Xenopus tropicalis: one gene and its partner. Each later gene encodes a partner of the first gene's protein in a complex. Links are inferred from orthologs where the notes say so. Each region holds a gene or a part of one and is shown on either strand. Other genes may lie near its edges.

Region 1 (4,289 bases):
AGTGCAGCGAGTTCAGCTGTTGCGGTACCACTCCCAGCACCCCTACAACAGCCTTCTATAATTGGTGTTTGGAGTTGTAACTGAACAACAGATGAATGAATAAAGAATATGACTATCCCAATATACATTATCATTGCATCTCTCTTGCACCCCATCCCTTTAAACAAGAGACTGGAAATTAGTGCCCTTCAGCTCTGCTTATCAACCAGCAGCACGTAGGGGTTTTGTTACTGTTTGTGTTTCAATAGGTGAAGCATTAACTTCACTTGCAGTTAGTGGATTTTATATAAATAAAGGTTCTAAAAAATAAAGATTATTTGGGGCTTTACAGGGCAATAGTGTAGCTGCTCATCACACAGAAGCAGCAAAACCAACCACTATAGGCTTATTGTCTTGTCTACCCCCCCCCCCCCCCCCCCCATAAACTATACCTAGTGCAGGGATGCAATGCAAAGGATTGGGGCTTGCACCTCATATTAAGGAAAAGTGTCTTACCTGCCATGAAGCGAAGAAGGATGCCGGGCTTAATAGGCTGGTGGTGGTGGGATGGACCCCTCCCAGAAGCTCATCCGTACATATGTCACAACCTTGGGCATCTCTCCAATCCCAGAAAGGGATGGTAAAATTCTCATCTCCTGTGAGTTTCTGAATCTCATGTTCCCAGTGCAGCAGGAAGTACCTGTGCCAGGGCACAAAAGCCGGAGCTTCATGGGCAAAGTCAATGTCTCTCCAGAGAGCATCTTCTCCTATGAAGACATCACGGGAGGCATAGTAATGCATCCAGACAAAGAGGTCATACACGTTGATATCCGCAAACATAGGGTTGGAGCCATTATTCATCTGGGCGTAGGTGCCAGTGACTATGACATAGTCACGGCTGGTGGTGTGCTTAGCCAAATTCAAGTAGGCAACGAATTTGCTCTTCTCAGCACTGCTCATTCGGAATATCTCCTTTCTTATCATTGTTCTTCTCTCTGTGCAGTTTGGCCCTCTGAAGCCAAATTTGCAGTCTGCACAGTTATAGCCCATGAAGTTGCCAAGGCATTGGCACGTCCTGTTGTAAAATACTGTTGGCCAGTTCTCTCTATCGTCAACCCCAGAGAATGGAAACTGAGGGCCAGTAGCAGAGCTGGTCAGGACAACATCCTGGCAGACACCCCTTCCTGATAGCTGGCCACAAGAGGACCCATCTCCAGACCACACAGGGCAACACTCCTTGCTCAGGAGCGACTCTGCGGTGCTACATGCCCTTGGGAACTGGCCCCTGCAAACATGGAGGAAGAAGAACAGGCAGCAGAATGCCAGAGGGACCATGTTCCTTTCCATGCTGCTCCTCACTCTCCCCCCGAGCCTGATCTATAGGATTGGGAATCTTATCCACTTTTCTTCCCTACTTATTACCAAGCACAATCACATGTGCAGGCTTACATCAAGGGCATGATTTCTTTCATTCTTTCTTACCCCCCCCCCCCCCCCACCTCATTCCTCAAAGTACAGAACCCCTCCCATTCCCTTTCTAACTTCCAAAAAAGAAAAAGAGTTGGGGGGATTGATATGTGATTTTTGTATTTACTACTAAGCCTTAGTTTTTGCCTATTCCCCAATATGACACGCAGGATCTCTGCTTAATTGAGCCAACTTAAAAGTCTGATTATGTTTAACCGCCTGTTTGTTTTTTTTCCTCATTAAAAGGCCACACAAATGTTATTGCAGATAAATTAGATCGGAACTATTAGCAGAGTGGAACTAATGTGTTTAAAAGGCAGAGGCAGCCCGTGATAGATCCGCTCCATTCCGCAAAGGAAAGAAAATCTGGGGAAGCCAGACCCAATTGGGATGCATCTAAAGAGAGTAAGTTAAAGGGGAAGTTCGCTTTTATATTAACTTTTACAATACGTTGTCCTGGCAGACTGGTAAATAATACTCAGATTTAATGCCAAAGCTCACCACAATGTTTTTATGCCACAATTTTCCATATTCCAATTTTACTTTACTGCACTTTTGCAAATACTGCCACCACCTGAAGTTTGTTAAAGTCTATTGGTTTGAAGGTGATGGATGCCACTTTCCCTTAACCCTTTCTGTGCTGGGTAGGTTTGCTTTTCCTGCATACAACATAGGTCAAGGTCAAACTGGGAATGTTGAGTCTGTGGCACTGGTATTCTGTCCCTTTGTGTCAGTGCTGTAGGTTTTACTGCCCCTGACATGTAAAGGGTTAAACAGGTATATTGGAAGGAATACATGCCATAGAGGGCTTAGAGAATTAAACATGGCATTTCATGCCTTCTTACCTGTTTGAAAGGTGGAAGTTGATAATTGATAGTGTTTCAGCTGCTAAAGGATGCTGGGAGTTGCTGCAAGGGGAAATTATGTGAAAAATATTTCCTTGTTTTGTTTCAAAGGGTTAACAAACGCACAGCCCTGCAATCTGCTTTTTTCATGTCTTATTAAAGGGAATGTCCACACAAGCAACAGATATTTTTGTGGGATTTGTTTGGAAATGTAGTTCTCCTTCTCTGCAGATCTGTTAATGGCAGAACAGGCAAGGCATTGTGGGAACGGTCTTGGCTGGAGGAGAGCTGACTCCTGATACAATAGAAAAGTGTGAATAGTCAGGCAAAGCAGTGGAGGGGGATTGTAAGAGACTGATTCCCCTTTCAAGGGCAATTATATTTACTAGTCATGAGCGAATATGTCCCGTTTTGCTTGCGAATCTTTTAAAAGATTAGCGAAACTGTGAAAATGTTGTGCGTCAAAAAAAAATTGACGCCTGCGGGTATTATTTCGTCGCACGGCTATTCTTTTGTCACCTGCGGCTATTCTTTTGTCACCTGTGGCTATTCTTTTTTGACGCCCACGGCTATTCTTTTGTCTCCTGCGGCTATTCTTTTGTCACCTGCGGCTATTCTTTTGTCACCTGCGGCTATTCTTTTGATGCCCGTGGCTATTCTTTTGTCACCTGCAGCTATTCTTTTTTGACGCCTGCGGCTATTCTTTTGTCACCTGCAGCTATTCTTTTGATGCCCGCGGCTATTCTTTTGTCACCTGCGGCTATTCTTTTGTCGCCTGCGGCTATTCTTTTGTCGCCTGTGGCTATTCTTTTGATGCCCGCGGCTATTCTTTTGTCACCTGTGGCTATTCTTTTGTCGCACGCGGCTATTCTTTTGTCACCCGCGGCTATTCTTTTTTCGCCTGCGGCTATTCTTTTTACGCCCGTTCTTTTTTGACACGCTACCATTCTTTTGATTTGGACAACAATTTTGGACGCGTGGCGAATATTTTCATCCGTTTCGCAAAACAATCCACCAATGGCGAAAGCGGAAATTTACCAATAACTCTAAAATCACTGAAAAATGTTTAAAGGGGAAGGAAAAGCTACATGAAAATGTTAGGCACCCCCAAGTGACTTTAATCACATGCCTGAAACTCCCAGCCGGGGTGTATGCGGGCAAGTTTTCCTTTTTTCGTCTTCTATCCTCACCCATGCGCAGTAGAGTGAAAAGCCGACTTTGACTTTGGTCTTCATTTTTTATTATTTGTAGTTTTTTTTAATTATTTTAGTTTTTGTTCAGCAGCTCTCCCGTTTGGAGTTTCAGCAGCTATTTTGTTGCTAGGAACCAAATTACCTTAGCAACCAGGGTGTGGTTTGAATGAAAGACTGATATATGAATAGGAGAGAACTTGAATAGAAAAATAAGTTCTAAAAAGTAGCAATAACAACTTTTGCCTGCGGGGGTCGGTGACCCCTGTTTGAAAGCTGCAACGAGTTAGAAGAAGAAGGCAAATCATTTAAAAACTGTAAATAATCAGGGCCAATTGAAAAGTTGGTTAGAACTGGCCATTGTATAACATACTAGAATTTAACTTAAAGGTGAACCATCCGTTTAAAGTGACATGGTGCTGGGTGCAAGCAGAGAGCCTATGTAGCTACCATATAAAGAAGGGATAATAACTCAGCCTGGGGACAGAATGATGAAAGCCTATATAGCAGTCTATGGTATGGGGCCCCTGATAGCAGCCCCCCCATGTCATGGGAGCAGAGAGACGTGCTACCCGGGATCAGGAGCTGAACACATGACTGCTGACAGGCACGAGGTCTCTCTAATCCTGGGGGCTGCCAGCCTTGGCATTCTCTCCTTCAGCCCCACTGGCTCATTGACTCGACAGCCCATCATCCAGCCCAGAACCAGCTCCATTCACTGAAACGGCCGGATCATAGGGACATGGCTTGTGGTGCAATGGTGTAACTGTAATGGCGCGGGGAACTGGCACCCTGGGAATCCCTATAC
Region 2 (3,500 bases), on another chromosome or scaffold:
GTTTAAAAAAATATTGCACTGATTAAAACCTATGAATTAGTTCATGTTGTATTACTGATACATAAAGGGTAAATAAAAACCAGTAATGGCAACAAATAAACATGCATTTATATAAGTCCTCCTTATAACCTCACATTAGGATTAGGGATATGGGTGTAGCCATCCCATCAGCCATACCGCAATGCATAAGGCATATCAGTTACTCTACTGTGATAGAAATGATGGATTTTGGATATGATTTCTGATTTTTTTCATAATTAATAACAAACCAAAACGACTCTGTATTGCTGACCATTTGGTATTGTTATGTATTGTTTTCAGGCACAAAGACTGAAGTTGTTGATGTTAATGACCCTCTAAAGACCCATATGTAAGGCTCCATGACAATGTTCTAGCTCTGCTTGTCCTACTCATGGGATGATTAATTATTCCTTTGGCCCTGGGCTGCATTCTGACTCTGCCCCAATCCATCCCATCACTGCCCTTTACCTGGCGCTGGGCCCCCCTTAAAAAAAATGGGTCCTGGGCTATTGTCCCATTTTCCTTCCTGTACGTTGAAACTGGCCCCTCCCACTGTGGGATCATAAGGGCAAGAAATACCTTATTCCTTATACATTGCACCATGGGATGCACAAAGTCCATGTGGTTTAGACATGCAGGTGAGGGAGTAATAGTTAAATACAAAACTGACTTGTGCTCGACAGTGTCGCACTTTGCAGACCATCATATCTAGCACAAGGCGCAAAGCGCTGCCATTACCCAGTGCAACTACTCTGTTCATTAGCACTAAGGGGGGGCAATTGTAGACCTCTTAAAGCTCCTGCACTTCTATAAATGAGCCCCCTGATCTTACCCAGACCCCATGAAATATACTGTAAGTGCTTACCCCACTTTTCGGCAGGGTTCGGATTCCCCCGAATCCACGGTCCTGGTCGAACTGAATCCTAATTAGCATGAATTAGCATATGCTAATGAGGATTTGGAAGCGGCAATTTTTACCCCTTCCGGATAATTAGGATTCGGATTCAGTTCGGTATTCAGCCGAATCCATCGGGGATGGATTTGGAGGTTCGGCTGAACCCAAAAAACTGGGTTCGGTGCATCCCTAAAATTTTGTGCATTAAACGGGTGGTTCTCCTTTAAGTTAACTCTTAGTATGTTATAGAATGTCCTATTCTTTTCAATTGGTCTTCATTATTTATTTGTTATAGTTTTTTAATTATTTGCCTTCTTCTTCGAACTCTTTGCAGTTTTTAAATGGGGGTCACTAACCCCAGCAGCTCCCAACCACTCCCTGGTTGCTAAGGTAACTTGGACCCTAGCAACCAAATAGCTGGGGAAACTCCACAATGGAGAGCTCCTGCACTAAATAACTAAAAAACTACAAATAATAAAAGACGAAGACCAATTGCAAATTGTCTCAGAATATTATTCTCTACATCATTCTCAAAGTTAACTCCGAGGTGAACAACCCCTTTAATATATAAACCACTGTACAGGTATTTCATTATACTCTTATTTATGATGCCTACCAACTATAACTACAGCTCCCAGAATGCCTTGACAGCCAGTGCGCTACACTTGTGTTTTTCTGTCTTTTTTTACCTTCCCTGCTATGAGAGAGAGATGGGGGGAATCGGTGGGATAACCCCTTCTGCATTCTGCACTTAAGGGTAAATGTGGTGTGATTACATCTGGAAATGTTACATACCTTGTGCGGTTCAGTGGAGCAGCTGTGATTTAATTAACACATGCAAGCTATTAAGGCTCGGGATTACCGCATAGTTTTAAAGTGCTTCCAACTCCTGGCAAAATAAGACAGGACCTGTGTTAGAGCAGTGTTTGGTGTGATTGTGACAAGCTGTTTTACTAGTGCCGGCAGATGGAATAGGGGTGGAGGTAAGGCTCCGTAACAGGCCTATAATTAGGTTTTGTGTATCACCCTGCTGGACCATCAGACAGCCATGATTTAATATTGCAGCCATTATGCCTCTCTAGCTGGGGACAAGCATGGAAAGTGACATGACTGAAGCTTCCTGTTGGGGAGAGCCTCTGTCTTCATCTTGGACAACTATCCTGAGACCAAATGAGATTCAGTTCTTCTGCTTTCTCCCCTACAGCGAGCAACCCATCTTTAGCACCAGAGCCCATGTCTTCCAGATAGACCCCAACACTAAGAAGAACTGGGTTCCAACCAGCAAGCATGCCGTCACAGTGTCCTATTTTTATGATAGCACAAGAAATGTCTACAGGATAATAAGTCTGGATGGATCAAAGGTAAGAAGGTGCTTTTTCATTGGTTATCATTGGCAAGATGGAGTTAATTAGTGCCGAGCAGTATCAGCTGGCATCAGATACAAGTCTAGCACAACCCACTTCCCTGTTACTGGGCATGCTGAGAGCGGGTATATCCATCCATGTGTCTGTTAATCCGAATGGATCTGGTTGCACAATTTCAAAACAATGTGAAAAGTGCTTTAGTTACCTTTATTGTTTAACTGAAATGCAAAATAATTGGTCCATATGTTTTAGATATGTATCATGTGAGACACGGTATTGCTGGTATATTCCAGTAACATTACTGGCATTGTTTAGGCTACAGCTAGGAGATATTTCCCAAGCATCTGTTGATTTTTCAGTGTTCTTCACATTTCAGACTGGGATAAGGGCCACCCCTGAGCCAAACCAACCACTTGCAGTGATGCCCCTTGCCAATTATACATCTGCGTATGGATTTTGGATTTTTGTTGCATAGTATATGCTCATCCATTGATGAGTGCACTGTATTTACTGTACCTGTGCATTACATAGGAATACTCAGCAGCAAGATGGATACTTTGGAATTCCATCCACTACAATTGTCTTTTGCTGGTGCCCATTTAAACACCAAAGAGTTCGTCTCTGACGGGCTGATCCTTTGTTTTGAAACATAACCCTGTCCTTAAAGGAATACTGTCATGGGAAAACAAGTTTTTTTTTCAAAATGCATCAGTTAATAGAGCTTCTCCAGCAGAATCCTGCATTGAAATCCGATTTGCAAAAACACAAACAGATTTTCTAAATATTTAATTCTGAAATTTCACATGGGGCTAGCCATATTCTTCATTTCCCAGGGTGCCACAGCCATGTGACCTGTGCTCTGATAAACTTCAGTTACACTTTACTGCTGTGCTGCAACTTGGAGTGATATCTTCCCCTCCCTTCCCCCCAGCAGCCAATCAGCAGTACAATGGGAAGGGAGCAAGATAGCAGCACCCAGTAGATATCAGAATAGCACTCAATAGTAAGAAATCCAAGTCCGACTTGGGACTCCTTCAGTTACATGGGAGTAGGAGAAACAATAGGTTACTTGAAAGCAGTTCTAATGTGTAGCGCTGGCTTCTTTGTAGGGTGAAGACACATGGAGCTACTTAGTAGCAGCTTCTTGTCATGGCTACTAAACACCAGAAAATACCCTGCCATAGACAATACTGAGAATTGCCTCTGCTAAAACACACGTA

The links. The genes of interacting proteins can lie anywhere in the genome.
Region 2: the proteins of grm5 (region 1) and homer1 are in contact, whole or in part, in a crystal structure (PDB 1DDV), measured with the Rattus norvegicus proteins. The link is inferred for Xenopus tropicalis from reciprocal best matches to the Homo sapiens genes GRM5 and HOMER1. Residues at the interface, in XP_006229721.1 of Rattus norvegicus: Thr1155, Pro1156, Pro1157, Phe1160; in NP_113895.1 of Rattus norvegicus: His12, Phe14, Trp24, Thr70, Ser71, Gln72, Lys73, Phe74, Gly89, Phe90.

What each region holds. Positions count from the first base shown.
Region 1 is NC_030678.2:167,827,323-167,831,611, forward strand, and holds the start of grm5 (metabotropic glutamate receptor 5), read left to right. Parts: upstream 1-1,489; 5' UTR 1,490-1,851; intron 1,852-4,289. UniProt on the Homo sapiens protein: G-protein coupled receptor for glutamate. Ligand binding causes a conformation change that triggers signaling via guanine nucleotide-binding proteins (G proteins) and modulates the activity of down-stream effectors.
Region 2 is NC_030677.2:185,978,360-185,981,859, reverse strand, and holds part of homer1 (homer protein homolog 1), read left to right. Parts: intron 1-1,879; exon of another isoform or gene 1,880-1,899; intron 1,900-2,120; coding exon 2,121-2,277; intron 2,278-3,500. UniProt on the Homo sapiens protein: Postsynaptic density scaffolding protein. Binds and cross-links cytoplasmic regions of GRM1, GRM5, ITPR1, DNM3, RYR1, RYR2, SHANK1 and SHANK3.